Diceros bicornis minor: one gene and its partners. The protein of the gene in region 2 interacts with the protein of the main gene of each other region in a biochemical or structural test. Links are inferred from orthologs where the notes say so. Each region holds a gene or a part of one and is shown on either strand. Other genes may lie near its edges. The genes, in order: NRG1, ERBB3, ITK and SYK.

What was found.
Region 1: the proteins of ERBB3 (region 2) and NRG1 form a complex in vitro, tested with the Homo sapiens proteins (8 studies listed by BioGRID and IntAct, with this or other methods). The link is inferred for Diceros bicornis minor from reciprocal best matches to the Homo sapiens genes ERBB3 and NRG1.
Region 3: the proteins of ERBB3 (region 2) and ITK form a complex in vitro, tested with the Homo sapiens proteins (2 studies listed by BioGRID and IntAct, with this or other methods). The link is inferred for Diceros bicornis minor from reciprocal best matches to the Homo sapiens genes ERBB3 and ITK.
Region 4: the proteins of ERBB3 (region 2) and SYK form a complex in vitro, tested with the Homo sapiens proteins (2 studies listed by BioGRID and IntAct, with this or other methods). The link is inferred for Diceros bicornis minor from reciprocal best matches to the Homo sapiens genes ERBB3 and SYK.

The regions. Positions count from the first base shown.
Region 1 is NC_080768.1:30,156,355-30,163,991, forward strand, and holds the start of NRG1 (pro-neuregulin-1, membrane-bound isoform), read left to right. Parts: upstream 1-4,331; coding exon 4,332-4,998; intron 4,999-7,637. Other genes in the region: uncharacterized LOC128092250 homolog, read left to right, coding at 3,831-4,019. UniProt on the Homo sapiens protein: Direct ligand for ERBB3 and ERBB4 tyrosine kinase receptors. Concomitantly recruits ERBB1 and ERBB2 coreceptors, resulting in ligand-stimulated tyrosine phosphorylation and activation of the ERBB receptors.
Region 2 is NC_080756.1:12,681,260-12,688,598, forward strand, and holds the start of ERBB3 (receptor tyrosine-protein kinase erbB-3), read right to left. Parts: upstream 3,170-7,339; 5' UTR 2,947-3,169; coding exon 2,865-2,946; intron 2,618-2,864; exon of another isoform or gene 2,537-2,617; intron 1-2,536. UniProt on the Homo sapiens protein: Tyrosine-protein kinase that plays an essential role as cell surface receptor for neuregulins.
Region 3 is NC_080740.1:73,163,351-73,170,724, forward strand, and holds the start of ITK (tyrosine-protein kinase ITK/TSK), read left to right. Parts: upstream 1-4,029; 5' UTR 4,030-4,158; coding exon 4,159-4,296; intron 4,297-7,374. UniProt on the Homo sapiens protein: Tyrosine kinase that plays an essential role in regulation of the adaptive immune response. Regulates the development, function and differentiation of conventional T-cells and nonconventional NKT-cells.
Region 4 is NC_080761.1:55,627,626-55,635,377, reverse strand, and holds the start of SYK (tyrosine-protein kinase SYK), read left to right. Parts: upstream 1-4,372; 5' UTR 4,373-4,548; intron 4,549-7,752. UniProt on the Homo sapiens protein: Non-receptor tyrosine kinase which mediates signal transduction downstream of a variety of transmembrane receptors including classical immunoreceptors like the B-cell receptor (BCR).

The DNA of each region.
Region 1 (7,637 bases), on a different chromosome or scaffold from region 2:
TGAAATAGTATTCCAGAGAAAATCCTGTAACTGAGACTGTGGAAGAGCTCGTTTAATTTAAAGTCTAAATAGAGATACTTAAATAGCCTATGATTAATCCTTATAACTTTCGCAACTCACTAGGCAAAATCTTAGAAGGCTTTTTTGGAAACTAGGCACCTTTTAAGTGTGTTTACCAGCTACATTAAGGTAATATTGCCTATTTCATTGTTATGCTTTCTGGGTCACTTATTCTCCCCTTGAAGTGGTAGGTGAGGAATACATAATCAAATGCATTCTTTTAATTAAAAAAGAGAAGCAGTATTTTTCAGCAAAAATAGCATGAGTCAGACCTTTGTTCAAATCTTGGCCTGTCACTTAATAGCTGTGTGTCCATGGCTAAGTTACCTAAGCCGCCTGAGTCTGTTTCTTTGTTTTCCAGATAATATGTATTATACAGGATTAGAGAAGATCAGAAATAATGTATGTTAAGAATCTACAGAGTGCCTGGCGCAAAGGTGGAGCTCAATAAATGTAGCTTTTTTTGTATGAAGGAGGTGGTAACGTGGTGTTAAAAAGGCAGTAAAAATATGTCTCTTGTTCATTTTTTAAGGGAACATGGAAATATGGGTTCCTTGAGCTTTATTGGGGTGTAGCCTAAAGGGTTAAAGTGATACATCCTTGCACTTCTTCCTACAAACAGGCATGTTTTATCCAAAGGAAATTTCGATCCCTGTCCCATTCACACTACCCTTCCTCACTTCTTTATTGCTATAGAGAATTTGATAAAGGGATAAAGACAACTTCTGGCTCCTAGTCCAAAGGGTAGAACTATTGGAGAATTCCTTTTATTCTGTACCTCCTGTCCTACTCCCTTTCCTCAATTATTCACTTTCCAATTTGGTGGGAAACAACTTTATAGGATGCTGGCTCTCTGCACTCTGATCTTATCTCCAAGGTGCCACAAGGTTCATGGAGTACATCTCCAAGGAGGACACATGCACATCCCACAGTCTGATTCGTGCAGTCCAGGGGACGGAATGGCTGTGGTGGCCCACAGGATTCTGTCTCTGATGCTTTGGCCTAGTCTTTGTATAATGTGTTATTTTCCTTTGTAGGAAATTACTCAGCACTGTTCTAGTTGTCATATTAAAGATGCGTGTTTCTAATATGACAGCTACAGCAGTGCCCAGTGATTTCTTTGTCTGCTGAATGTGTTTGTTCTTAACAATTATGGTGAGGTGAGTAGTTGTGATTGGTGCAAGTTAAGGACCACTTTTTTTTTTTTTCATGAGGAAGATTGGCTCTGAGCTAACATCTGTTACCAATCTTCTTCTTTTTGCTTGAGGAAGATGGTCCCTGAGCTAACATCTGTGCCAGTCTTCCTCTACTTTGTATATGAGACGCTGCCACAGCATGGCTTGATGAGCAGTGTGTAGGTCTGTGCCGGGGATCAGAACCCACCAACTCCGGGCCGCCAGAGTGGAGCACATGAACTTAACTACTGTGTCACCAGGCCGGCTGCAAGGACCACTTTTTACGTTATTGGTTACTCTTCTTGGTGTCTTCTCTTACCTGCCTGACTTGGGCTACCTGAACCCCATTTTGGTCTTTGAAATTTAGATGACCTTGGCTGTGGATAAAATGCCAGTGGATTATACTTGAGTATAATTTTGGTTTGGGGCAGAATTGAGGAGTTAAGTGCCACATATTTACACCGGGTGATCTCTGAAGGAATTATAAGTTATCCTAATTTAGCGTAAACATTTACTTGTTTATATTGTTTTTGAATATTTACATGAATAGTGATCATTAAAATCTTAATACCTCAGTTGGAATACTGCAAATGCTTCAATATAGATTTTCTATGATATGAAATTTTATGTCCATTGCTAGAATCTTTCAGAAAGCTCTCACTGTTAAAAATAGAAACTAGGCATAGGAATTATTTTAAAATACTGGTGCATAAATGCAGGTTATGTAGAGGTGAACTTCAGGATAACTCATTTTGCCCATAAGCTTGTCATAGTCATAATTATGATTATGCAAATTTGTTCAGGCTTTTGTTGTTGTTAGTTACAGTACTACAAGCACATTTTAAGATATGAATGCCCCCTAAATCATTTATAATTATGGACTAATTTCATTTTGAAAGAAATGATAATATTCTTATCTCATGCCCACTTAAAGCTTAAAAATATTTCAAAGCAGTGGAGATTGTGCTATACAAAATATCATGTGCTTAAAGCAGATTTTTCTCAGGACTTGAGCTCTAAATTTTATTGCTTCTGGGACTCATATGATGGTTATGTAGTATAGATTTAGAGAGAGTTTTTAAGACTCCTGTTGACATAGGTGAGCAAAATGGTTCCTTGGAAACCATTCGGGTGTCCAGTCACAGTAAAGCGTGGATTAAAGGTTACGATGCATATAGTGTGCGCTGACGTGTAACCAACGGGAGGTTTGGGGGACCATGTGCTCTCTATTGAGGACAGTGCACTTCTTCCCAGTATCTTAATGACTGCTATCTTAAAAGGGGGGAAAAAATCAACATTGAAACTATCTGTAAGGTAATGCTACTGAAACCTAACCCAAAAGGCATGCTCTAATAGAAAACTCTTCTTAATACTTTCAGTGTGGTTATAGCTGAGGACATGTGGTATATATTACAGCACTCAGGGAATTCAAACCTCCGCAGTGTGAAGTCACAATGAAGGCTAATTTCAAAAAGAAGTGGTAGCCTTTGCTCCCTTCGTAGCTCTGTTACTTCCCAGGGTTTCTTATTAGCTTGATATTCATCTAGGACTGCTGTGAGTGGCACAGGGAAATGGAAATTTAAAGAGGACCAGAGTGGGGACGTATGAGTCTCTCTCCCCTCCCCTAGCACCCGCCTCCTTCACCATACACTCAGCATTTCACACTGGGCATTACAAAGTCTTACACAATCATTGCAAAAAGGGCCAAAGGCAGAGCTGTCCATGGTTTGAAAGAAATGTTCGAACTGTTGGTTGAAAATCAGGTAATAACAGTCCTGTTGGTGAACAAAACTTACTGGAGGGCTGAGGAAGGAACGCTATCTCTCAGCAGCAGGCAGGAAGTAATTGCTGCTTGAAAAGCTTACCTCTCTAGGGAGGAATCAGATATCAGACTTTGCCAAGCCCCAGGTCCAACCCAGAAGGTCCCACCTACATCCCCAGCCTCAGCCCAGCTTTGTTAGATTGCTAGCATCGATCGCTGCCTTTTCCTGACCCAACAGTGGGTGCAGGAAAGAGAGCCAGCCAGACTGAAAGCAAGCAAGGTGGGGGTGGAAGACTGGGGCCGCTTTTGCAGAGAGAAAAAGAGAAAGAGAAGAAAAAGGGTGGGGGCCATGGGGACCAAGCTTAACTGGTGCCTGCCTGCTTCTCTTTGATTTGATGGCCTTTATTCCTTCTAATTGGATAAAATAGGAAGTCACTGGCAGTCCTGTGTTGCTGGGTATACTGATTTTACTCAGACCAGCCAAGCAGCTCCAGAGTGCGGGTAGAGGGTGGGGGTTGGGAGAGGAGGGAGGAAAAAGAAAGAGAGAGAGTGAGAACGTCTTTGGATGAGGAGGGGAAAGAAAGAGAAAGAGACTATGAAGAAGGGAAGAGCCGCAGAGGAAGAAAGTGAATGAGCGCTCAAGAAGGACAAAGAGGAGTGGTTGCGGGGTGGGGGTGGAGGCAGGGCGGGGAGGGGAGTTACCGCCCCTCCTGGCCGCACTCGTCCCTTCAGATCCCTCTGTGATGATACTGTTTGCAGTGATGCTCGGAGGGCAGGCACCTGCTGCTCTGTAATGATTCAGCCTCTTTCAGCCGTCGCGTTAACACAACAGGATGCTGTTGCTACTGTCGCTGCTGCCTCTCCTGCCGCCGCCGCTGCTGCCGCCGCCGCCGCCGCCGCTGATTCTGCTCTTGCTTTTACTTCTCCTGCATGACAGTTGTTTTCTCCATCTAAGCAGACACCAGCTTCAGATGCTCGAGGTGAGAAACATGCCTTTCAGTTTGGGCTACTGGTTCACTTAATTGACCAACCATCAGCTGGATTTCTATTCTGGCCCCTGCCCTCTTGACTAGCACGGATGGTTTGGAGAAGCATTTAAAAGAACTACTAAAGTGGCCCAGAAACAGCAGTAAAGAATTACCATATACTTTTATTTGGTAGTTGCTAGGGGCTTTTTTTCCTTCCTTCCTCCTGAACTCCTCTTGCTTTTGATAATGGCCTTGGACTTGGACGACTTATCGATTTCCCCATGTAAGATGCTGTATCATTTGGTTGGGGGGGGCCCTGCCTGGTAATGGACCATGAGAGAGGCCAGGCCTTCTGGAGGTGAGCCCATGGAGATCTCTTCCCCAGACATGTCTGGGGTAGCTGCAGAGAGGTGCTCCAGCCCCTCCACTCAGCTGAGTACAGACCCATCTCTTGACGGGCTTCCGGCAGCTGAAGACATGCCAGAGACCCAGACTGAAGATGGGAGAACCTCCGGACTCGTGGGCCTGGCAGTTCCCTGCTGTGTCTGCCTGGAAGGCGAGCGCCTGAGAGGTTGCCTCAACTCGGAGAAAATCTGCATTGTCCCCATTCTGGCTTGCCTCGTCAGCCTCTGCCTCTGCATTGCCGGCCTCAAGTGGGTATTTGTGGACAAGATATTTGAGTATGACTCTCCCACTCACCTTGACCCCGGGGGGTTAGGCCAGGACCCTATTATTTCTCTGGATCCAACTGCTGCCTCAGCTGTGTGGGTATCATCTGAGGCATACACTTCACCTGTCTCTAGGGCTCAATCTGACACTGAGGTTCAAGTTACAGTGCAAGTTGACAATGCTGTTGTGTCCTCTGAACCTTCAGCGGTACCCACCCCGAAGAATCGTATTTTTGCCTTTTCTTTCCTGCCGTCCACTGCACCATCCTTCCCGTCACCCACTCGGAGCCCTGAGGTGAGAACACCCAAGTCAGCAACTCAGCCACAAACAACAGAAACTAATCTTCAAACTGCTCCTAAACTTTGTAAGTAGAGAGAGAGATGGTGATGGATAAAAGAAAGGGTGGGTTGGAGATCCTAAAAGGTGTTCTCCAGGGCGTGTAGCTGTTTCCTCTCCTCCTTGTATTTTAATTGCCTGGTTTTGTTGAAGCCTATCATGTGACTGGGATGCTTGGGCTGGCGTTGAAGAGATGAGTAAAAAGATCTTGTAAACTCCTAGTATGAATCAGTGCTCTAACAGAAGCTCGCTCTAGCCAGATGGTTAAATCTGGGGTGGGGGGCCCAAAACTTCAGCGTCTGAGTTAAATTCAATTGATTTCTAATACTTTTTAAAATTAAACGTCAGCCCATCCTGTATTTTTTATATAAATTTGATTTTCACATAGCAGTGAGTCTGATTTTGTGTCTTTCTTTTTCCACCATAGAGTTCCTATCACCTCTCCCCAGCTTTCTGATACCCTGTGCCTCCCAGCCATCCCAAGCTGCCTGTTCTCTTTCTCCATCTCTTCTTCCTGTTCCTTTAACCACTTCTCCCTGCATTTGTGTTTTAATTGGTTCCTCCAAATATTGCATCAAGTCTTTAGACATTTATGATGCTCACCTCTCGCCAGCGTCAGGCTACAGCTGTCCTACCCAGATTGTAGTTTCAGTTTCTGAGCACTTACGAGAGGCAGCTTAATTTTGTTCAGAACACAGAATAATTCTGCATGAAAAGATTTTCCCAGATTAGTTTTGTCTTCTGTAATCAAATGTTTAAATAGCTTCCTTGGCCGTTATTAAAAAGTACAGAATACATTAGTAAGCTACGTCGTTTTTTTAGACATGTGTCATTTCGCCCATCAGATTGCAGCAGTCCAGTTTAATAATCTGTGAGTGAAGAGAGCCCATGCTGTTGAAACAAAACAGAACAATATACTGCTGTTTGTACCTGGTCATTGCAATGCTTTGTAATGGAAAGTTGACAAGGATGAGACCGTGACTAGTCAGATTGTTCTAAACATCAACGTATAACGGAGGAGTTTTCTATAGCTCTTTTTTTTTTTACATTTCTAATTTATTGTTGTTTCTCTATCTTCTATCACTTTTACCATTGATGAATATTTCTTGAGTAGAAAAAAGTAAAAGATCAGAGGATTTGGTTCTTAAAAACGTGTGTAAAATCTCTTAAAGGAGAGTTGAGGATAAGGCTTCTGTGATGAAATACCCCGTTTGCTTCCCTCTAAATGGAAATGAAGAATAAAAAATATCTTTTCCAGACATTATGTTCAGGATGAGGGGGATCCGTGTGTTACAGAAACAGAGAAAAACTTGATTTGGGCTTATGAATCAGGATCATTTTATACACACCAGTTTTAGTGGCAAAGGTTTAAAAAAAAAAAGAGGCTTGTTTTTCAGGTGTAATTAGGGAAGAACGTCCTACTGCTTTGTATCTTTATCAAATCCCTGAAGCATCATTAAAGGTCTGACAGACATCGCTGCATTCACTGCCTCTTCCCACCTGGCAAAGTGACCGGGAAATAATACCCAGATGAAATGACAGGCTATAAAAAGCAAGTCCAAATCCTGCAAAGAGAAGCAAAATTCACTATGCAGACAAGGTTACTTCTTTGTCTTTATCATTTTCAACTTAAGTCTTTAATTAAAATGTGCCTGAATAGGTCTAGTTGTCCAGAAAAAGAAAGAAGACTCTTTGAAAAACTCAACTAAATTCTATAATTCTGTCCGCGGAAAACAAGCAAACAAAGAAATACCCAGCACATTTTCCTGATCTAGGACCATATCAAAAAGTATGTCGTGACGTTTTGAGAAATTATTTTTTAAGGGCAATTCTTCTAGCAAGTGTTTTAATAGATTACACATTCCATATAGTTTCTTTTCTTTTCGTGTTTCCAAGCCAGAGCATTGATTTTCTGGCATTTGCTTTGAGTGGAAAAGATTTACTGCTGCCTAAAAGCATCCTAGGGGCCAGTTCTGGCCAGATGCACAGCTGCAGTGTTCTGAAGTCCATTGGAGAGAAGCCTGGAAAAGCAGTCTGGGAAGTGCTGGTCTCCTGAAAAGTTAGGGGAGAGTGTTGGTTAACACTTTACAGCCTATAGGGTTTTCTGTATGGGAAACTCTGTGTTAATTTTTTGATCTAGTGCCTGAAAACAACAAAAACACTAGTATCCTAAAAATTGTGTTTGTTTTTTTTTTTGGAAAGGGGTTGGTCCAGGGAGCTTTGTTTTCAGAAACTCATAAGTGGTTGTTATTGTTGTTTAACAAGCTTGTAAACATTAACTAAAGGAAAGCAAAAAAAAAAAAAAAGCTTGGAATTAGATTGTCATTTTATAATCTCTTTCACTTTTTTCTTTTCAACTAAGAAAGTATTGCTTAGTCATAGAAAGAACCAGCACTTTCCTTTCATCATGCGTGTTTTTGACATGAACTAAGCTGTCATGGCATATATTTTTAAATGACATGATCATATCTGAGACATGTTCTTCAGTGGTTTCAGGACTTTATTCTCCCTTTTCTATCTGTCTCAGCGTTTTCCGCACATTATGCACAGAGCTGTAGCCTTCAAGGTCATGGTCTGTTGAGGGCTAATTGATTCTTCTTTATCCTGGAGCCTGAGAGAGGGGAAGAGAGACAATCCTAGTAATTGTGTCTGCTGTATTATTCCCCA
Region 2 (7,339 bases):
CCTCAGCAGTACCCCCCCTCTACGCTTAAGCCTTGGGCTCAGACAAGTGACCTCACCAGAGGGGGGAGCTCTGGTGGTGGTGGTGGTGGGGTCAATGTGAGCTTTGTCTTCAAAGCTAGAAGATAAAGAGCTGGTTGCCTACCCTGTCCCCCCTTCCTAAACCCTGGCTTCCCTTCTCACTCCCTTCCCCTATCCCAACACACTCCAGCTCCCTCAGCATCACACTTTCCAGCCCAAGAGTATTTTTCAGCAAATACAAAGAAGCCTGGAGGGAAACAGCAGCAGACTCCCCCCATTCTGAGCCTTCCACTCAATTTCATTGTCAGAAGAGATTCATTAAAAAGCCCTCCAACATGGCAACCCCCACTCACGTCGGGGGAGTGCCTAGACTTGAGGTTCATGAGGGGTGTCAGTCTTGGGGGTTCACTTTACCTTGTAAGTATGGAGAACATAGGGGCTATGGGAAATCTTGGACCCTGAACTCCTATCCCTGTCTCTTTCCTCTGGCTCAGTGAAAGACTATGGGTTGGGGGGGAGATACCACCTGTTCCAACCACCCTTCCCTGAGGCGGTGGAGCTCAGTGGGAGGCAGGAGTGGAAATGGAGGGAGATTGGTGAGGCCCCAATGTCTCCTAGATACACCCCTAGTCTGACCACTTGACTTTTGAGGGCTCTCATTCGCCATCACTCCCCCACAAAGGGAAAGGGGTGGGCTAGACCCAGCAGAGGGGTAAAGGGGTAAAGCAACCAGAGGAGCCTAGGAACTCCAGGGTCCTTTGGCTGAAAAGAAAGAGGCTAGGAAGGTTAGTCATTTCTGGAACAGCCCCACCCCAACCCCCTTCCTGGCAGGACACCCCCTCTTCCAAGTCAAGGCGCCAACTCTTCTCCCTAGATAAGGGAGGAGCCAAGATTTCTGCAGAAGGAAGTGGTGTGTGTGTATGTGTACATGCACGCACTCAAGACACACACACACATACAGAGGAACATGTACATAGCTCCCTTGCTGGCCCAGAAATCTAGACTGGTTCTGTCCTTGGGTTTCCTTAATGGGAAGTATTTCAGGTGACCCTATCCATCTCACCTGCCCATATATGTTTGGGCAGACTTGGTGTCTGTGCTTGGAAGGCTACAGTGTTAGAGGTCCCAGTTCCCTGCCACCCTGAGGGTAAAGTCCGTATTACACAAACAGGGAGCAAAGGGCCTGGGCGGGAAGGGAGTAAGAACAACACCTCTGAGGAGGAACCCAGCAGCTTGGGGAGGAAGGCAGGGGGAAGGGAGTTATAAAAATCCCTGCTGTACTCAGGGACCAGGGGCATAGGGAGGGGCAGTGTCACAGGCCCTCATTTGGTAGAGAGCACTGGGGTGGGTCAGAGCAAGAATCTCCAGCCCCTCCTCAACCAGAGGCCTCCTCTCCAACATCCCCCACCCCCATCACAGCCAGGACAAAGGGGCTATAGAAGGACCGAGACAGGGCCGGATGCCCAGAGGCTGCAGGATCCAGATAAAGGGTAAAGAGACCCAACCATGCCTGCCTCCTGGCGCCCTATGGGAAGGTGGCCAGGATCTGGGACTCCTGGGTTCCTGGTTGAAGATTCCAGGGGTCTGGATGGGACAGTGATACAGTCACTCTACTCGGTCCCTCCCACTCCAGTCCCCAGACCCCCGCCCTCCACCAGCTGGGAGTGTTCACATCTCAAGATCCCAGGGTCTAAATTTAGGCCCAGCAACTGTGGGGGAAGCACAGGTGTTTCTCCCACTCCCACCCTGGGGAAGGGGCCCTGGCTGTGACAAACCCCAAGCTGAGATCTTGGGGGGAAGGGAAAAGATCAACAGGATTCCTCCAATGCCAGCAATACCAGCACCCCTCAGGTGTCCATTGTCCCAGAGATGCCCCAAAGGGGGAGGGGGCTCATATGGCATGGGAGTGGGAGGAGGAATAGAAGAGCAATCTGACTTTAGTCCAGAGTCCTAGAGACAGTCAAACAATAAACAGAATGGGGGTGGGTGAGAAGCTGGGTCTAGGAAGGACTCCCCAGGACAGGAGGCTCAGAAGGTGGGAGAGATGCCCTGTTGATCCTCGGGTTGGGGAGAGAAAAGACAGAGAGAAGGCTGGAAGTCCTTTACTCTACAGTTCCCGGCCCAGGGTCTTGTACATAGTAGATGCTCAATAAATACTCGTTGAATTGATCTGGATCTTGACAAAGAGAGGTTGGTCAAGTCGGGGACCAACTAGCTTTATTATTTTGAGGGAAAGAGGGCAGTCAGTCTCTGCGTGGCCTCTCACCCTGATGTTACCTGGACGTGGCCCTCTGGTTAATTTCAGCCCTCCCCAGGGCAGGCCCACTCACGGAAGAGGAGGTGCCGTTCTTGTTTTTCCAGCACCAGAGAACAACAACCCCCTCCAACCCTTCCATAGCTCCGCCCTGTCGGCAAAACAACGAAACTGGCGGGTGCTGAAACCAGGGGGAGCAGGGCATTGGGGAGCAAACTGAGACACCCCCCCCCCCGTTCAGCCAAGCTCTCCACCTCCAATCACCTCCTCAAGTTTGCAGAATGGAGGTCCCAGCTCCCCTCCCGGCAGGGCCCCTCATAAGTGTGAACTGTTTGGGCACCAGCCCTATCCGGAGAGACAAATTCGAGGGTCAGCGACGCGCTGGGGAGGAGGAGGTGGTGGTGGTCCAGGAATGCCGTCCCCGCCCGGACCACGCCGAGAACCCCAGCGTCGCAGTGCCCGCCCAGGTGGTCCCAGCGGACCCAGGGTCAGCACCCCGAGCGTCACACTGCGGGAGCCCCTGCCCTCCAGGGCTCCGCGTCCTCGGTTCGGACCCCAGGGTCCGAGCTGCCCGTGCTCCCGCGCCGCTTACCTGCCTGCGAGTTGCCCACCTCGGAGCCCCGGGCCAGGCTGAGAAGGAAGCCCAGCACCTGCAGAGCCCGGTTCGCCCTCATAACGCTAGCGGAGGGTGAGGGGAGCCCAGCCGAATCCGGCCCGGGGGGCCCCTGGACTAGGACATCGAAGCGGAGCCACCTGAGCCGCCAGCGAATTGGTAGCGGCGGCAGAGGAGGTTACACACTGCAACCGGAGCCGGAGCCAGAGTCCGGGGCGGGATGGCAGGGGAGGGTGTGTGTCTGCGAGCGCGGAGGAGGGAGGCAGGGGGAGGGGGTGAGTCACGGCCGCGCCCCCTCCGGCGCGAGGCTGGATAGGGATTGCCGCCGCCTCCGACGGCCCGCCCCGCGCGCCCCACGCCCCACTGCCCCGCGACTTGGCCCAGCAGATCCAGGATGGGTCTCCCCCTAATTTTCTTCAGGAGCTGGACTAAGGGAACGTAAAGATTCCAAACGCCCCAAATGCCTCCGAAGGAGAAAGGTAATGGGGGTGGGGAGAGCGCGCGAAAGCCCAGCCCTCGGAAAGTTGGCCTCGCCCATTAACCAAATCACTCAACTCCCCTAGCCGGTTGGGTCACTTGGGGGATTTTGTCTTCGAATGTGGATGTTTTTCTCTGTGTGTGTTTTTGAGGGGGAGGGTATTTTTGCCTCACGCTCAGGCCACCTCAGTTTCCCCGGAAACCCCTCGAAACCCCATAACTCATCCACCCTGCCGAGGAACCTGAGCCCCAGAGGCCGCGTGAAATTGCACTGTCTCCGGCCGCTTCCTCCTCCAGACCGGCGCCGGCCCGGCCTCTCCCGGGGATTTGGTTGGGGGGCGGGGGTGGTTTCCAGCCTGGGAACAGACCCCGAAGCCCGCCTTTCCACTTCCACCCCGGGAGGGGCTCCCGCACCTGTCGCCGTCCCCTCTGCTGCCCCCCACGGCCGCCTGGGAGAACAGCTGCCTCCCCTTCCACGCTGGAGTCTGACCGCGCCGTCGGGGCGGCTGGAGTTCCCGCCGCTGTTCTGCGGACCCAGATGGGCACACCGTCCCCACCACAGGCGCTCACACCTTCCCAGGCGCCTTCCGAGCCTCGGCTCGCGCTGGAAAGGGGGAAGGGGCACTAGAGACTGCGTCCACTAATGACGTGGACCCCTGACACCTCAGCACCAGCTCCTGGATCCTGGCCCGAGGTGGTCGGGTGCACGGCGAGTGGCTGCCCCAAACCCTGCCGGCCTCCGAACGGATCCGACGGGCGCCCTCTGGTGCCCAACGGGCGGCAGTGAGGCCCCTCACGGCGTTGCATTTCTAATCTCTTAAATTGGCATTCTGGATCTCGCCCAGAGAGCCTAATTATTTTCCCCAGAGTTTCAAGCCTGAAAACTTCAATAACAGTTAAGCCTCGATGAAGAAAAATTTCGCCTCTCACTCCGAACCAAGACTGCGGGCTAAAATTCTTTAAACTTTCTCCGTACTGATATGCACTCTAGAAGCCCATTCTCTGCTGGAGGCTACCTTTGCCCCTGGGGCGTTGGCCTTGCCTTGACCACTTGCATAACAGTTGAAATAGTAATAGCAACCAGGAAACATTAACATATACATACATATACCACCTCACTTGCAAGCGTTGCCTCAAACTTAGAGAATGTTTCACTTACAAAAACTATGTGAGCTAGGTGACATCACTCTCCATTTTACAGAACTGGAAATGCATGACTTCGCCAAGGTCATCCTCTTGGTGACAGTGGATGATCAGGAGAAGGGGTGCAGGTTTTTACCTAGGTTTTCTTTTTTGTGTGTGTGAGGAAGATCAGCCCTGAGCTAACATCCATGCCAATCCTCTTTTAGCTGAGGAAGACTGGCCCTGAGCTAACATCCATGTCCATCTTCCTCTACTTTATATGGGACGCATGGCTCGACAAGCAGTGCGACAGTGCGCGCCCGGGATCGGAGCTGGCGAACCCCCAGCCAAGGCAGCGGAGCGGGGGCACTTAACCGCTTGCGCCACCAGGCCGGCCCCTTTGCCTAGGATTTCTTTTTTTTTTAAATAAATTTATTTATTTATTTATTCCCCCAAAGCCCCAGTAGATAGCTGTATGTCATAGCTGCACACCCTTCTAGTTGCTGTATGTGGGACGCGGCCTCAGCACAGCGGGAGAAGCGGCACCTCGTGCACGCCGAGGATCCGAACCCTGGCCGCCAGCAGCGGAGCGCGTGCACTTAAACGCTGAGCCACGGCGCCGGCCCCTACCTAGGATTTCTTATGTCCCACTGAGACTGGAGCTTCATCTGCTCAGAATCAAACTCCCACCAGATAACTGAGCTAACACCACTTCAGGGGCCTTTCATTTGATTACTCATCCACCTCACACTAGTGTTCAAGGCCCTGGTTCTGAAGGAGGAAACCCTCCTTAGTTTCCTTGTTTGTAGAACAGTTGTGTTTACTTATAAGTTTGTTGTTTGGATTTCATAAGAAAAAGCAGGTAGAGCTCTTCTTTACCTCATTGTGCTTGACCTTTAAGAAGCATTCCATGAATACTAGCAGTATTTCTTCCTGTGATCACCAACTCCACCCCTCCCCTCCCCAACTAGATCCCAGGGTGTGCTTGCTGGTATCCATTCTTCAATACATCATGCTAAGCATCAGGGTTATAAACACTGGATAAAGCCGACAAGTAAGGGGCCGTCTCTGTTGGGTGCTGCCCTGATTGAATAAAGGAAGGGAGAGAGGCTTTATTTACCAAAGCTCTCTGCAGTTATCCACCATCCCTTTATCTTTCCTTACTCTTAGCTGATAACTTGGGTTCTTATTCTACTGTGAAAATAAAAGTAATCAAAAGAAAACATCCTTATCTTTCTACCACCAATCTGGCCAATTTACCTCCATCCTCACTTCTATACTTTGACTTCCGTCTTGTTACAATGAACGGTCCTTGCTGCTCTTTAAGCCAACTGTCACTCCCCCAACCCTCACCCCCACCCCCATCCTCAGTGCTACACCTCAGTCCATTCCTTCTTGCCTTTCTCCTGCATTATCCGTTTTCTCCTCTATTATCAATTTTCCTCTCTACTAGATCATTCCTGTTCGCATACAAACGTGCTGTCCTATCTGCCACCTTAAAAAAATAAAACAAAACAAATTAACCTTCTTTGACCCCATGGCCTTCTAGTCCTTTGCTCCTAACTACTGCCAGATCCCTATACTTTATTTGTTCACTATCCAATGACTGCCTCCAGCTTCCTGCCATCGCGAGCTATGCTGCAGAATATCCTCCTACCTGTCTCCTTTGGTTCTGTGATCATTTCTCGTGCATATTGAGCTCCACACTCTCTGGACTATCACATCATCAATAGTGGGATTTCTATATCCACACTTCCTTGTCAATACTTGACATTATTCAAGTGTCCAATTTTTCAATTTGCCATGAATTCAAAATGATATCTCATTGTATTTCTTTAATTCTTTTTTTAACGAAATTTTTTTTTCTTTTTTTTTTTTTGTGAGGAAGATCAGCCCTGAGCTAACATCCATGCTAATCCTCCTCTTTTTTTTTTGCTGAGGAAGACCAGCTCTGAGCTAACATCTATTGCCAATCCTCCTCCTTTTATTTTTTTCCCCAAAGCCCCAGTAGATAGTTGTATGTCATAGTTGCATATTCTTCTAGTTGCTGTATGTGGGATCCAGCCTCAGCATGGCCAGAGAAGCTGTGCGTCAGTGCGTGCCGGGGATCTGAACCCGGGCCCGCCAGTAGCGGAGCGCGTGCACTTAACCGCTAAGCCACGTGCGGCCCTCTTTAATTCTTAATATTTGAGCATCTTCTCAAACTTTTTCTTACTTTTGGTTTTTCTCTTTTATGAATTGCCTATTCATTTTCCTTTGCCAATTTTTTAATAGGGATTCTCATATTTATTATATTGGTTTGCAGCAGTTTATTGTATATTTCAGATATTAGACCTTCATTGACTTTAGACATTGCAAATATCTCTTCCCAATTTTCATCATTAACTCTGTAAATAATATTATTTATTGAACAGAAATCCTTAATTTTGGTATAATCTAATTAATTGATTTTACTTCTTATGGTTTGTGATCTTGATATTTTTAAAGACTTTCTTCCCCACGCTTGCAGCACATTTATTGAGATATAATTGATACACAATAAACTGCACATATTTAAAGTCTACACTTTGCTGAGTTTTGACATACATATATAACCATAACCACAATCAAGATAACAAACATATCCATCACCTGGGAAAGTTTCCTCATGTCCTTTGGTAATCTCTCCTTCCTCATCCCCATAATCTCCCCCATAATCTCCCATAATCCCCATACACATGCCCCACCCTAGCATGTGTATATACAGTTGTTCCAGCACCATTTTTTTTAAACTATTTATTTATTTATTTATTTATTTCCCCCAAAGCCCCAGTAGATAGTTGTATGTCATAGTTGCACATCCTTCCAGTTGCTGT
Region 3 (7,374 bases), on a different chromosome or scaffold from region 2:
TATTTTTTTTTGTGAGGAGGATCAGCCCTGAGCTAACATCCAATGCCAATCCTCCTCTTTTTTGCTGAGGAAGATTAGCCTTGAGCTAACATCTGTGCCGATCCTTCTCTACTTCATATGGGAAGCTGCCACAGCATGGCCTGACGAGTGGTGCGTCAGTGTGTGCCCGGGATCCGAACCTGCGAACCCGGGCCGCCAAAGCAGAGCGCGCGCACTTAACAGCTGTGCCACCGGGCCGGCCGCCTAGGACTATTTTAACATAACAACAGTGCCATTATCACACCTTAAAAAATCAATAATAATTTAATAATCAAAAATGCAGTGTTCTGATTTCCCAATTGTGTCATAATGTCTTTATACAATTAATTTGTTTGAATCTAAATCCCAACAAAATCATCACATGCTTGATATGTCTGTTAAAGGCTCTTTTAATGTATAGGTTCTCTTTCTGACTCATTTGTTGCAGACACGGGGTCATTTGTCTTGAGCGTTTTCTGTATTCTGGACTTATGTAATTGCATCTTCATGGTGTCATTTGCCATGTTTCTTTATCTCTTGTATTTCCTGCAAACTCGGATTTAGATCTCGAGGTTTGATGAGATTCTTGTTTGATTTTTTTTTTTGGCAAGACTTCTGCGTAGGTGGTTTTGTCTACTTCCTATTGCATTACTTCAGGAGACAGGTAATGTCTCATTGTCTCTCTTTTTGTGACGTTAAGATTGATCCGTGTGACACAGTGTTATTAGTCTAATATGTAAATTATGAATTTTTTTATTTGCTTTTCACATAATGATTTTAGCAGCCATCAATGATCATTGCCTAGATCAATTATGTCATTAGGATTGCAAAATGGCAATTTCTATCACTCCTTCTTCATTTATTAGTTGGAATTCTTCTCTAAAGAAAGACTTCCCCTCATTAAATAGTTGATTATTAAACTGAGATATAATTCTTAAGGAAAAAACAGGAAATATGTTTTATTCTTTTCTTTTGTTTTCCAGTTTTCAGAATAATAAATTGGTTCTCCAGCATCCTCCAAAAGTGATCCATGGGCTGGGTTTTTTTTTTCACGTACCTTATGAACTCATGATTTTAACATTTTGGCTCTTCTTCAATTAATTGCAGTTATTGTTCTTTTTGATGCCTGAATTATTCCATCTTTGGCAACTGAGAGCTTCTTGAATTTGGCTCCTGTGAGTTGGACTTGCACAAACCAAAAAAAAGAGGTTATTTATTTTTATGTATGTTTTCCTGAAAGTGATGGGGGAAATATTGGGCCTCTTAAAGTTATATTTAGGTCAGGGCAAAGACCAGTTGTAGTGAGTGGGCTTGAAGACGCTATGGAGAGAGAATAAAATTACTTATGATCGTACTCTATGGAGACTTGGCAAGTGAAAGGTTCCTATTACAACAGCTACTGATGATATTTTGCTTTCCCAGATGAGAACACTTTGTGAAGTCTGTAAATCTTTTAACCTGAACCAACCAGGTATAAATCTACCCTTCTCAAAGAAGTTTATAGTCTAGTTTGGAATATAGCACTATGTTGTTATAATTCGGTTTGTTGTTAGTAACAGAACTTCAAAATACCAGGGACCTAGAAAATTGAATTTTATTTCCCTCTCTGTGAAAAAAGAAAAAGATGATCTCAGGCTGGCATGGAGGATCCAGGGTCGTCAGGGCCCCCGGCTTTTTCTATCTTACTCTCCATTATCCCCCACCTCATGATATAAGATAGCTGCTCCAGGCCTAACTATCATATCCACATTCTAATCAGTAAGAAGGAAGAAAAACAGAAGGAGATGAGCAAGATGACTACCACTAAGAACACGTCCTAGAAGTTGTGCTCATCACTTCTGCTATGTTACATTGGCTAAAAAACAGTCATATGATTGAAAAATATAGTGTTTATTCTGGCTGGCCAGATGCCCAGATAACCTTCAGGGAGTCAGTTACCCAAGAAGAAGGGGAGAGTAGATATTTTGAGAAAGCAGCAATCCCTGTCTTAAGCGCATATGCAGAAGGAAAAAAGTAGTATATCTTTTGGGCAGTGTACTTTCACACATATGTCTTAAAACCTCAGAATGTGGGAGGGGGAATTATTTAAATATCCCTTCCCCCACCATCCTGAGTGTCTCAATTATGCTAGCACATCTAATATATGAAACAAAATTAAGCTGTAGTCTGGTAATTTACATTAAAAAAAAATTTTAGGTAATTGAACTCCTATATAACAATAGTGGTTGTTTTACTTCGTTTTTTGTCCCTGACCCATATATGCCACCTCTGCTTACACTGCGATTTCTTGGTTATTTACTTCATGCTGGAAATAAGACTCTCATGCTGTACTTTGACTGTGTACTAATTCTAAGACAAGATACATGACTAGCACCCACCGCTCCAGCGTTTATGAGATTCAGTCCTCAAAAGGACCCTCACAAGGATCCTTAGTCTTAAGGATCAGCGAGGATAAGTAGCTTGCTCAAAGAGAAACAGCTTAGTAAGTGACAGAGATGGGATTCCCATATAAGTTTGTCTGTCTTCAGAGCCCATACATGCTTTGTTTTTTATGCCATTCTGAAGGGTTTACATATTTTCTGCTCTTCGACTAAATTTTGGGATAGAAAAGCAATCGTCTGTCTGTAGCACAGAGAAACTTCTATGGGCTTTCATTTAAATTTTGAAAAATAATAAAATTCAATATATTTCTCTTAAGTGTTTTATGGTCATTGTCTCTTTTAATTGTCCAACCCAGTTTGGTGATTATTCATTCAACACATTTTTCTTAAACATCGTTTTTATGTGCCAGCACTGTGATGGTTGCTGAGTATACAATGGTGAGCAAAACCACACAACAGTCCTCACCATCATGGAGCTTCTAGACCAGTGGGGGAGACAAACATTAATCCAAATTCACTCTCCAAAATGTACAATTACAACTGTCATAAGGAATGTATAATTTAGAGTTAACCAGGCAAAATAGGGGAGAAAAGATATTTTCAGATAAGATACGCAGATGTTCAAAGCAGCATAAAGAGCAGGTGCGAAGGCTGGAGTGAGAACTGAGAACGCATGAATGTGGTATGAAATGAGACTGGAAGGAAGCCAGAGAGCAGCCCTGTAGTGCCTTGTGTAGGGGCACTATTATTCCCTTTCACAGATGAAAAAACTGAGGCTCAGAGCTCTTGAGGAATTTGGCAACAGTCTCACAGCTAGTTAGGTGGTGGAGGCAGAATTCAAACTGTGGTAGGTAGAAAAATGGCTCCCCTAAAGGTGTCCATGTCCTAATCCGTGGAATTTGTGAATATGTTAGGTTACATGACAAAGGAAATTAAGGTAGACGATGGAATTAAGGTTGCTAATAAACTGATCTTAAAATATGGGGATTATTTTAGATAATCCAAGCAGGCTCAAGGTAATCTCAAGTGTCCTTAAATATGTAAGAGGGAAGCAGAAGAAGAGGTTACAGTTGTATGGATGAGAGAACTTGACCTGCTGCTGTTGGCTTTGAAGATGGAGGAAGAGGGCCATTAGCCAAGGAATGCAGGTGGTCCTAGAATCTGGAAAGGCCAAGGAAACAGATTCTACCCTAGAGATCCTCCAGAAAGGAACACAGCGCTGCTGACCTCTTGATTTTAGCCCAGTGAGACCCATTTTGGACCTCTGAACTACAGAATTGTGAGATAAATTTGTGAGCCACTAAGTTTGTGATAATTTGTTACAGCAGCAATAGGAAACTAACGCACAAACGATGCCCATTGGCTCCATGGGCCCATGTTCCCACCCTTTGTGCTACGTGCCTTAACTGTTGGTTGGGCTAAACCAGGAACTATAAAGATTAAACTCTAATCCTTCATATCATTTTGAGTTTAAGGTTCTTCATTTTCAAGCCATACAGCAAAGAGTATGTATAATTTTTACATGTGCCTCTTGGTTTTGTGAATTTTGAAAGGATGTGGTTACGGCCTTTGACATCAGAGCAGAGGCTCCGCAATGTTGACTGAACATTGATAGAAAGATAACGTTGGAGGCAAGGTGCCTTTGAACAACTCTCTGAAGATCAACTGCCTCCCCTTCGCATTCCTTGCCCTGAAGCCGTTTCCTCTGGTTGTGCTAAGGGGTGATGCCCTAGGCGCATCACTTTTCAAGAATTGGATCATGAACAACTTTATCCTCCTGGAAGAACAGCTAATTAAAAAATCCCAACAAAAGAGAAGAACTTCTCCCTCCAACTTTAAAGTCCGCTTCTTTGTTTTAACCAAAACCAGCCTGGCATACTTTGAGGATCGTCATGGGGTACGTGAGCACTTTGTTTTGTCTTTTTTTTTAAACAATATTTTGTGTTTAGACTGGGCTGAATCCATGGACTGAAATAAGAAGACAGGGAACACAGACATGCTTGTTATAACACCTAAAAAGTACAATAAGAGTAATCAGAAGAGAAGTGTGCAGAAAAGTCAAGAGATGCGGTGGGTGTGTTAGGCAATTTCAGTTCTAAAAACTGTAAAAGAGTTAAGTTTAGAATTCATTCACTTTTTCCTCTCTGAAAGTTTAATTTTAAAATTATAATATTTCATATGGCAAATGTTATGATTGGATACAATTTGAACTTCATTTAACATATACTACATTTTATATAACATAGATTAATAAAATATTAGCGATCAGTGGGACCTAAGCAGTGATCTAGCCCAGTTTATTTAATTTATAGTGGAAGAAACTGGTACTTAGAATGGTTCAGTGATGGGTCCAGTGTCAACGTTTCTATGAATTTAATTCTGTTTGTCTCAATGTTCACCACTCACCTGATGTCTTGGAATAATATTCCCTGGGCATTTAATTGTCTAAAATTTGCAAGGCACAGTGGTAAACTTCTTCATCCCTTGGAGAACTTCCCAGGAGACTAGAGTTACCATGTACAAAGTGTGATGCAGTACAGACCAGAGGTTCTTATCCAGATGATTACAGAAAAAACTAGGTCAGTCTTTTTATCTAACTAAATATATTCCTATATTCCATAACATCAGTAATAATAAAAGCAACATGAATAATCATGACAATGTAGTTTGGTACAAAAAGCACTGATCGAGGGGTCAGGAGACCAACTCTATTTCTCTCTAGGTGAGTTAGCCGGGGCAAATGTGTCTACCTTCTGTGTCAGGTTCTTTTTTTATAAAATGAAAGGACTGGAAATACCACCTACAACTCTTCTTTCTTCTTTAAAAATCCTTTGTTTCTATTAAATAGCACTTGGTTAACCCTTCTCGCAATTATTCCAAGCATGTTTGACTTCTTCCTATATCATTGTATTGTTTTTCCATCACTAGGATGGAAGGGCAAGGGTTTTCGCCTATATTTATTTTACTGAAGGGGAAATAACACTAGGTGCTTGATGGTCACTTAGAGACAAAGGCGCTTCGAATCCTTATTGGCATCTGACTTAGTAGGTGTAGGCATGAGTTTGGGGTCTTTTGAGAGTCAGGCTTTGAAATATTCAATGAAATGGAGTCCTGAGTGAAGCCAGGCTGGCTATGGAGGCTATGGATGCCTGGCCTTTTAAGCTGCGGGTGAAATAATACTGGCTCTTCTTTGGAGGTGAAAAGATGTGCTCATCTTCAGCAGACTCTTACTGATAACAATCCACCAATCATTCAGAAAGGAAATGGAATTACTCATGGGCAAGGCCTCTTTGGTTGGTGCCCAATAAGTATTTGTTGACTAGTTAATAGAGGGCCAGAGGTTATGTTATGAGCTTGGAGGATTCATCATATAGAGCTGATAATCCACATGACATCAGTCAGTTTTTTCTTTTTGTGAATAAGATATTAGAAGTTCTTGTTTCATATTGAAAGAACAGTCATTTTCCTTTAAACCTTTTTTTTCAAAGCCCATTTTATAGTTTTCACCAATTTGTTGTCCTGACTCAACACAGCATCGTCTCATTTAGTTAGTACTGATCATTCCTGAGCAGCTTTGCTGTTTGTGAACTGTTTGGTTGTGAATTCAGTATCGTATTATTTGCAAATAATCACACAACCAAATGATCTTAATTCAGAATTTTGTTGGTTATAATTTGCACGAAGACAGTGTTGTGAAATCACTTCACTTCTTCATTTGAACATTATGAAAAATTCCAGGACAATTAATTTATTCTGGGGAGCCCTGGGCTATAGTTTTTAAGACTTCCATGTGGGATATAGCAGATGTATGACATACAAACATCAAATTTCTTATTTTCTAATGCCCATAGCTTATATCATAAATAACATTTTTTTAAATCATTTCTTTAGATATTATAGAAATTTATTTGTTAGAAATTTATCCAAGGTCCCTGAGAAAAGTAAGATGTGTGAGTTATTATTGTTTATGTCCTATGTATGTTCCATTGTTTAGGGCCATCAGTTTGCACACAAGAGTGCATTGTGCATTGCCCATAAATAATAATAGCATTACACTTGTGGAAATAAACTTTTTATTTTTAGATTAAAGCCTCAGTCTTCCCATCTATAAAATGGGTGTAATAAAAGTACTTACTTCATGGGAAGATGGTAAAGATTAACAGAGAGAATGTATTTAGACTGAACGATTTGAATTTACCATTTGGTAGATCAAAAAAGGTCAGATATTGCCAATTTCGTATAGTTCAACTTAATATATAAAGTACCTAGCAGAAGTCTGGTCACCTAGTAAAATTGAGCTATTATTTGTATCATCGTAATATCTCTGAAGGAGCGAGCAGGGTGGCATAACACATTTGTTTTCTAATGAAGGGAGACATTAAAGGATTCTTCAAAGTCAGGCTAACGTAAAGCTCCTGGTTCCTTCTGTTCTGTGGCTGAATACAAATCTGTGGGGAGAGGCATACATGCATCATGAGATGCCTGATGCTGGGCCAACCATTGCCCCTCTCAGGGTCTCAGCTTCTTTTTCTCTTTTCTTATTTGTGAAATCATGTTCCTTCAGCTCTAAAATCCTGCGAATTTATGACATCATATGGAAAATAATTCTTCTACCTATTCAGGAACAAATTCTGTACTTCTGCAAATTAAGTATGTTTTTTCTAACTTGAGATATCCATGCCTATTGTCATTATAATACTGATTGAGCCTTTTATTTTAACGTGGATTTAGTTCTATGTCAGATGCCTGTTTCCCCTATTGAGATGTGCAAGTGTTTTCAGTGGGGCCAGGAAGTTCGTTCGTCCTGCTGGAGCTGTGGGCCAGAAAGAAACAGAGAGGTGGCATGTGGCGGCTCACAGGCAGGCGTGATTTCAGACGTTCCCCTGGACCTGCCCGTTTCTTTACAAAGTGGTCCCTGATGCCTGGCCTTCTTTAACAAAAAACAATAAGAGAGTAGGGCCCAATGGTGTGCTGG
Region 4 (7,752 bases), on a different chromosome or scaffold from region 2:
AAATAACAGCTTGAACTACCTTCCAATGAAGTAAGTATATTTTTAAGGAGGAGTCTGCTGGGCAAATGCATGGTCACCTGCTGAGATATGAGAAGGGGGAGTGACTTTTGAGCATAGATTTTCCCAACCTTTTTCATCAATCTCCAGTGCTTAGAATTGTGTCTGGCAATGAGAGACACAATAATTGTTAGCTGGCTTGAATTTCACAAAAAATAAGCAATCAGAGGTGCACACAGGAGACCTGACTTGCTCAGAGCCCCGCGCCCAGGAAAGGGCAGCATTTGGAGGATAGCCCACGTTTTCCGACCCCCGGTCCGTGTTCTTACCCCGGGGTTTAGACGCATATGGTCTAAGTTCAAATGCCATCCTTTGTCCTCAAGTAACTTTTCTGTCTTTCTGCTCAAAACCTCGCTGACAGCAGAAAAGGAAGGAAGTCTGCCATTTGTAAGTGAAAGGTCACTTTTATATCCCAGTTGAATTGGTGAGGGAAGCCAGCGTTCTGTGGCATTATGGCAGATAGACAGATGTGACCAGGCGTTGGGAAGCACTGAGATAAAGTAATTCATCTTATGATTCTGTCAGCAATGCCGGTCTATCAAGATTAACTTGCCTTCATAAGACAAGATAGGGTTGAGTCGTTACATTTTGTAAAAGGTACAACTACATTTTAAAATGGTTACAATGGTGAATTTTGTGTTGTGCGAATTTTATCTCAACTTAAAATAATTTGTATAAAAGTACACGTGATGCTGTCCTAACTCTGGAGCTTCCTCCTTTTTGTGCCAATAAAATGTTATGAATTCAATAGTTGGAGTTGAGTATTCTTTTACTTGCAACCTAAAGCATCCTATTGGATATCATGTGTACCCTGTGTATTTTTAATTTGAAAGAGATGAAAACTGAGGACCTTGCACTCTAAATATTAAAATGTACGATATATATTCTATAGGAAAAAAAATGGTGTGGCATTAAATTCTGGATAAAGTGGTGAAATATTCAGGAACTATCTAGAAAAAAAAGAACCTTCCCTCCCCAAGGAAAAAAGGGAAGGGGGAGAAAACAAAAATGTAAAAGTTACCAATAGTAACCAAAAGGAGAAGCACTTAAGGAGGTAAACTTCAAAAAGTGCTGGCTCATATAAAAACCGGAAGTTTGAGAGAATCACGGTGGGGTCATGAGCCCACCTCCCGGAAAACACATCTTGTGAGTCCACGAAATCCTGACAATTCTCACTCAGATCTCAAGAGAAGAAAAAGGAGTAATTGCTAATCCTTAGCTTTTCCCCTTTTTGATGATGGGGTAGTAAAAATGGCTGCGGTGGAGATGAGGGGAAAAAGAGAAATGGCAGCAATCTGGCAATACTCTGTCACGAGTGTGAGGGCTCCAGGGGCCCACAGGAATTGGGAGACTGAGCTGATGTGCAAAGGTCCCCCCAAAAGAGTGTGGTAAGCTCTTCCCTCTCCCTCTGCCATGAGGGGTGAGCCCTCCTAGGTTCAACCCAGTCTCCTGTGGAAGGAGGAGGAGCCCAGTTAGCACAGCAGGACTCCAGCTAAGCCCCGCCTGCTCGAAGGCTGTAGAAAATCAGGCATAGAAGGAGTCATAAGCCCTCAAACTGTAACCCAAAAAGGGAAAAGAAAAAGGATCTGATATAAGGATCCAGGAGCTGTCTCCCACAGAGGAGCAGAGCAAAAAGAAGGTCTGGAGAGAGCTGCCAAGCATGGGAAGGTCAGACAATGAACTTGTAACTATGCTGAAAGGGATAAAGCATCAGCATAAAAAGATAGAGGATAAAGATTCAGAAGGGTTTGTATTTCTCAACAGCAGCACTTGCAGCAAGAAAACAATAGAAAAATGACTTAAAAATTGTGCAGAAAAATAATTTCTGAATTAGAATTCTATACCATCCAAACCATCAATCAAAGTGGAGAGTAGGGGGCCAGCCCGGTGGCTTAGTGGTAAAGTGCGTGCACTCCGCTGCTGGCCAGGGTTCAGATCCTGGCTGCGCACTGACGAACCACCTCTCCGGCCATGCTGGGGCCGCGTCCCACGTACAGCAACTAGAAGGATGTGCAGCTATGACATACAACTATCTACTGGGGCTTTGGGGGAAAAAAAGGAGGAAGATTGGCAATAGATGTTAGCTCAGAGCCGGTCTTCCTCAGCAAAAAAAAAAAAAAGAGGAGGATTAGCACGGATGTTAGCTCAGGGCTGGTCTTCCTCACCAAAAAAAAAGTGAAGAGTAGAACCTTTTTAGATATGGAAGGTCTTTAAAATATCTACTTCCATTTCTCAGGAAACTCCTCGAAATTGTGCTCCACTGAAATGATGGAATAAACTGAGGAAGAGAAAGGCATGGAATACAGGAAACATGGACTCCTAGATACAAGAAAAATGAAAGGAAGGCCAGAGCAGAAGCAGAAGAAATGAATCCTTGAGAAACTGTAACCACAGGTTGACCAAAATTGTCCCCAAATTTCCAGCCCAAATTTGTATCACCTTGATGGTCCAAAAAAACATAAGCTGAGAATCCACCTTAAATTGTCCAAACACTAGTTGCACCCTAGGCTTCTGCCAGAAAACAAAGGCAAATTTCCTCTGAAAGAAAATACCTTTTTCCTAGGCCTCAACGAATCTCCACAAATAATTTTTCAAGGAGGATGAGCGGCTCACAGTTGAATGTAACCAAGAACACAAGGAAGCCAGGCACCATGAACCAGAGCCAGTGGAACACTTGACAACGTAAGCAGACACCAGAGACTTCATATGGTGGAATTAATACAGCAAACCCAGAAAACAAATATATTTATTATTTTTTAAGAAATAATGAATCTACAGGAATGGGAGACTTTAAAAAGTGACTGTGTCAGGAGTCTCCAAGACCATCTGGGTGTGAGGTGCCAGGACTCAGCAGAGTCACAGCTGAGATTTCTTACAGTGAAAGACAAAAAGCAAAGTCTGCAAAGGGAAGCGGCACATGGGCCCAGGAAGAAAGACTGGGAGAAATGTGATGACTTTTAGGAAGATTTTTGTCTAGGTATTTGCGTGATGATTTTAACATTTTTATTTAAAAAATTCATTCCAAGAATACTAATTCACTTTTAAGTGAATTAGTGAGAAGGACCACAGCAGTGCTAGAGGGGGGCTTGGAGATGGATTTAGAACTTCACCTCCTCTCATTAGCCTCCCCTGAGAAACAAGCAATCTTAGCAAACACAGGACGGTCCCCAGGCTCCTACTTCCAACGACACCGCCAGCTCTCAAGGCCTCCGGAATAGAGACATCCGCAGCCTCCGTTCAGAGAACAGTGGCTATTTCGTTGTTGGTTTGAGGCAAAGTCAAGTCCAGTGGTTAACAAATGTAATCATAATAAAAATCCTTCACTTGGGTTAAAAATTTGACGGCAAAATGGCATGGAAGAGAATGTCCAAGTGGGAAAGTGTCAACACTTCTGATGACCTTATTTTTCTCCATGGCAATTATACTAACACACTATACATTTGATTTCGGTTATTGTATTTTGGCTCAGGGTATAGCTTTTTAAAATAGGCACTGCCAACTACTGTTACCAAGAATGTGAGGGTCTAGAAGCTGTTTTATGGGAACATTTTGCAACAGAGCTGTCCAACAGAAAAAAGCGGGAAGGGAAGCAGGTAGGTGTTTTTAAACCATTTTAAGGACTACAGAAAAGGATTAAACTTCATTTATGAGCCCCAGACGTCAGAACCGGTTGTGGGTAGAAGGAAGCACGTTAAACTCACTGTCAAGAGCCTTGTAATCATGAAAGCCCTCAGAACACGGCCGCCTCAGACATTGCTGGGCCCGCCCTGACGTGCCCCGTGAAGTCTGCCGTTCACCTAAGGGAGAGGCCACCTGGCGGATTCCTGGGGCCTCCTGGTCACCGGCCGGCAGGAGCGTCTTGGGTTGGTGACTGGGAATACACAGCACAGTGAACAGGATTCTGTTCCTGGGCAACTACACAGCGAAATGGGCGTGCCCCTGAGTGGCTGTCGGTCCTTAGAAGGATCAGGCTGCAGGCGAGGTGGCGAGAGGTTCCTGTTGGTGACAGGGCCCCTTCCTTGTACAGGACCAGCCTTCTGCACCTGGGAGGAAATCGGAGCGCCCACCAGCTCCTCTCCCCTCTGCACTCGCGCCTCCCGCTTCCCAGGCCCACCCCACGGACCGGGTCCCCGCGCGCTCCGGCCGCCGCTGCCCTGCCCGGGGCGCACGGGACGCTGGGGCACTGGGGGCGCACAGGGCGCTGGGGCCGCTGGGGGCGCTGGGACCATCTGGGCGCTGGGGCGCACGGCGGCGGGGCGGGCCCGGGGCGGCGGGGCGCGGCGGCCGGGAGGAAGTGCGGGGCCTGCCCGGGCGCGTTAAGGAAGTTGCCCAAAATGAGGAAGCGCCGCGCGCTGGGCGGCTGAGGCGACTCCGGCGGCGAGAGAGCGAAGAGGAGCGGACGGCCCCGCGCTGCGCCCCGAGCTGTCCCCGCGGACGCACAGCCCGCCGACCCCGGAGTCCCGCGCCCCGCCCTCGCCACACCTGGCACAGGTAGGAGTGGCCGCGCGCTCCCTCCGCCCGTGAGAACCTGGAGGACCTTTGGGCTGGGGCGGGCGGCGAGGGAGGAGGCGGCGGTCCTCCTCCTGGGCGGGTTTCTGTGCGCCCAGCACACGGGGCAGGTACGCTCAGGGCCTTCGGCCTCTGAAATCAGGGAAATTTTGATGAGATCATTCGGATAAAACGATAGGCTGTGCCAGCTTTTCTCCTAAGCCTAGTGCCTCTCGGGGTTCGGCTCCGGCGCGGGGCGCGGCGGCTGGGGCTGGCCCGCGGACTGTGCGGGCCGGGACTGCGGGAGCCCGGCGAGCGCGCCCAGTGCGGAAGCGGCGGGTCCCGGGAAACGCGAGCGGGCATCCGCGGGCGCAAGAAACTCGTCCCCGAAAGAGCACATTTTCGTTTGGCCGTGCTTTACATAAATCCACTGGAAAACTCCACTGTATTTAGCGAAGTGACTCAATGTAGAAATGTTCGTATGCCTGCAAAGGTTTTTATATACATTTCTTTTCCTACAGAAAAAAAGAGCGGTTGCATAAAAACGTGCAACTCTCTGAACCACTACTAAAATTTACCATGATTCCTCTTTTTTCGGCGCATTTTCATGGTAAAGTAACTTAATTAGCCAGTGAGTGGCTCGGAGAGCAGGAAAGTTTCATGTAGTAAAATGAAAATTTGAGTTAAATATTTTTTTAGCAATATGGCTCCAAAACCTGAAACCCACCTAAATAATCGTACAAATGCTATTCATTTTTTTGGTCGTTTGAATGTTCTAGAACGAGAAAGACAATCATTGGAGAAGTTAGAGTTTGAGTCTTTTTAAGTTGGAAACGGTGTTGCAAATTATTTTCATGAGTTTGCCTGACTCGCCAAAGGTTCCATTGCACCTGGTAAAACTGTTCACTGGAGCAGTCATTCTTTTTCTTAAATCCCCGAAGCATTTCAGCGTGTAGTTTAAAGAGCTGGAGATGTCCCACATCTGAATCTTCACATTAAAAAAAATTAATTATGTGGTGACTGAGAATTTCTGGAAGAAATGGAATTGATTCTAGTATCTGATTTCTTTGTTTTAGTAAGAACAAATTTATTGTTATTACACGGGCAGCATTTTAATTAAATGCAGTTAAATTTATCGATGTGCCCCCACCCCCCAAAAGCCCAGATGGTGCATGGATATACTTGTATTTGAGCTAAAAGATTTTAATACTTGTAGAATATTAGATGTTTTAAGTAAGAAATCTCGGTTGAAATTATTTTATCAAATCATTTTGTTCTATCTATACATTTGATGTATTTAGAGAAATTTTGCAGTAAAATAGAAATTGATTTGTATTATTCTCTGTATTGGGAGTGCTTCGATATGTAAGATTTTATGAATAGTCTTAATAACTAGAATGTTTTTAATGTTTTAATCTGGGATAAAAATGAAGTGTATACTTTAGGTCTTTACCTTTCCTGAAGGATGAAATTGGCAGAAAGATCATTTTGCTAGATTTGCATTTCAGAAATAACTCACCACAGCCTTCTCTAGGCTCATATTTAATATTCCAAGTGTAGGTCTGATTTCTCCGTTTTTAAACCAAAGACTTCTTAGTAGGATACCACTTATGCAGCACATAGCATGTCCATGACCATTATCCAAAATCCTTGTGCTAAGATATGTTTTGGAATTCGGGATTTTTCAGACTTTAGGATTCAAATTTAGAATCTAAATTTCAGCGTTGAGAGGGACGTTTCTCAGAATGCAGAGAGGTGCGCATGCGTCCTGACACCATGTGCGCCATCCGTCTTCAGCGCGGTCTCAGCAGTGCCCTGCCGTCTCACCCGTTAGTGTTTCTGCGCTGACCGTGTGAGTGGTCTCGCTAAGGGGAATAAAGACAGCCTACAAATAGCTGCGTGTCAGCCTAGGGCAAGTGTGGTCACTAAATGAGCTTCCCTAAAACTTACCCCCAAACCCTGTTTTTCAGAGCTTTTTGGAGTTAGGGCCCAGGGACTGAGCCTATTAGATCCCATCGAGCTGCCGTTTGCTTTTGAAAGCGAGTTGCATTTCTGTTGCCAGAAAGTCACACTGTCCAGGGATTAGATGAGCAGTTGCCGCCTTTTCAGGAGCCCTGAAATGGCGAGACCTTCCTGACTTTTCAATGATAGTGGCCCACATGGAGATCCTCCGAGTGAGGATGGATGTCTCATCCTTAAGGAGGTGCTTTCAAACAGGAACCGTACTCACAGGGGGTCTCGTCCCCCCTTACAGCTGCCGTGTGTCCTTGGGAGAAGTACTGTTTCAGAGCCCTGCGGTGGCTCTGTCTGTCAACTGTGCCTGAGGGATGGCGGGCTCTTTTATAATCTGAGCTCATTTTTGCTTCCTCAACTTTCACTGTATAGATTATTTCAATTATCTGCAAACTCACCTCTTCTCTCCCCGTTTGCAAGTTTTAACATTTTCCTCCACTTCTGGATTGGGTTAGCTGTAAATGAGTGGAGAAAAAAATTAGGAATTTTGGCCTTTGGGGAGAATTTTTTTAAAAACAAATGGACATTTGTTTTTCTTTTGAAGCAATTGAAATCAAAAGGCAGAGTCTTAAAGAGAGATTGGAGTTAAACTGACTGACTTAAATTACGTCTGGTCATCTCACTCTTCTACTTTGGATTTGAACAAGTTAGTTCTTTTTCACTTGGAAAAGGAGGTGTTTGTTTTTTGTTTTTTTACTGAGCAATTGTGGGAAGATAAGAAAAAACTAGGCTGATTGGACTTTAAAGGAAGAGTTCATTTCTTCATTTTGATATAATGGCAGAGAAGCTTTCTATTAGCTTATAATTGTGTCTGACCAAATGTTAGCTTGCGTCAATTTGAAATTTTTTTGCCTTTAAGAATTCTGTATGGGGCCGCCCCGGGGCTTAGCGGTTAAGTGCGCGCGCCCCACTACTGGCGGCCCCGGTTCGGATCCTGGGCGGGCACCGCCGCACCGCTTCTCCGGCCATGCTGAGGCCGCGTCCCACGCACAGCAACTAGAAGGACGTGTAACTATGCCATATGCGTATCTACTGGGGCTTTGGGGGAAAAAAGGAGGAGGATTGGCAATAGATGTTAGCTCAGAGCCGGTCTTCCTCAGCAAAAAGAGGAGGATTCGCATGGATGTTAGCTCAGGGCTGATCTTCCTCACACACACAAAAAAAAGAATTGTGTAAAGCTTGCCCTATGAATCT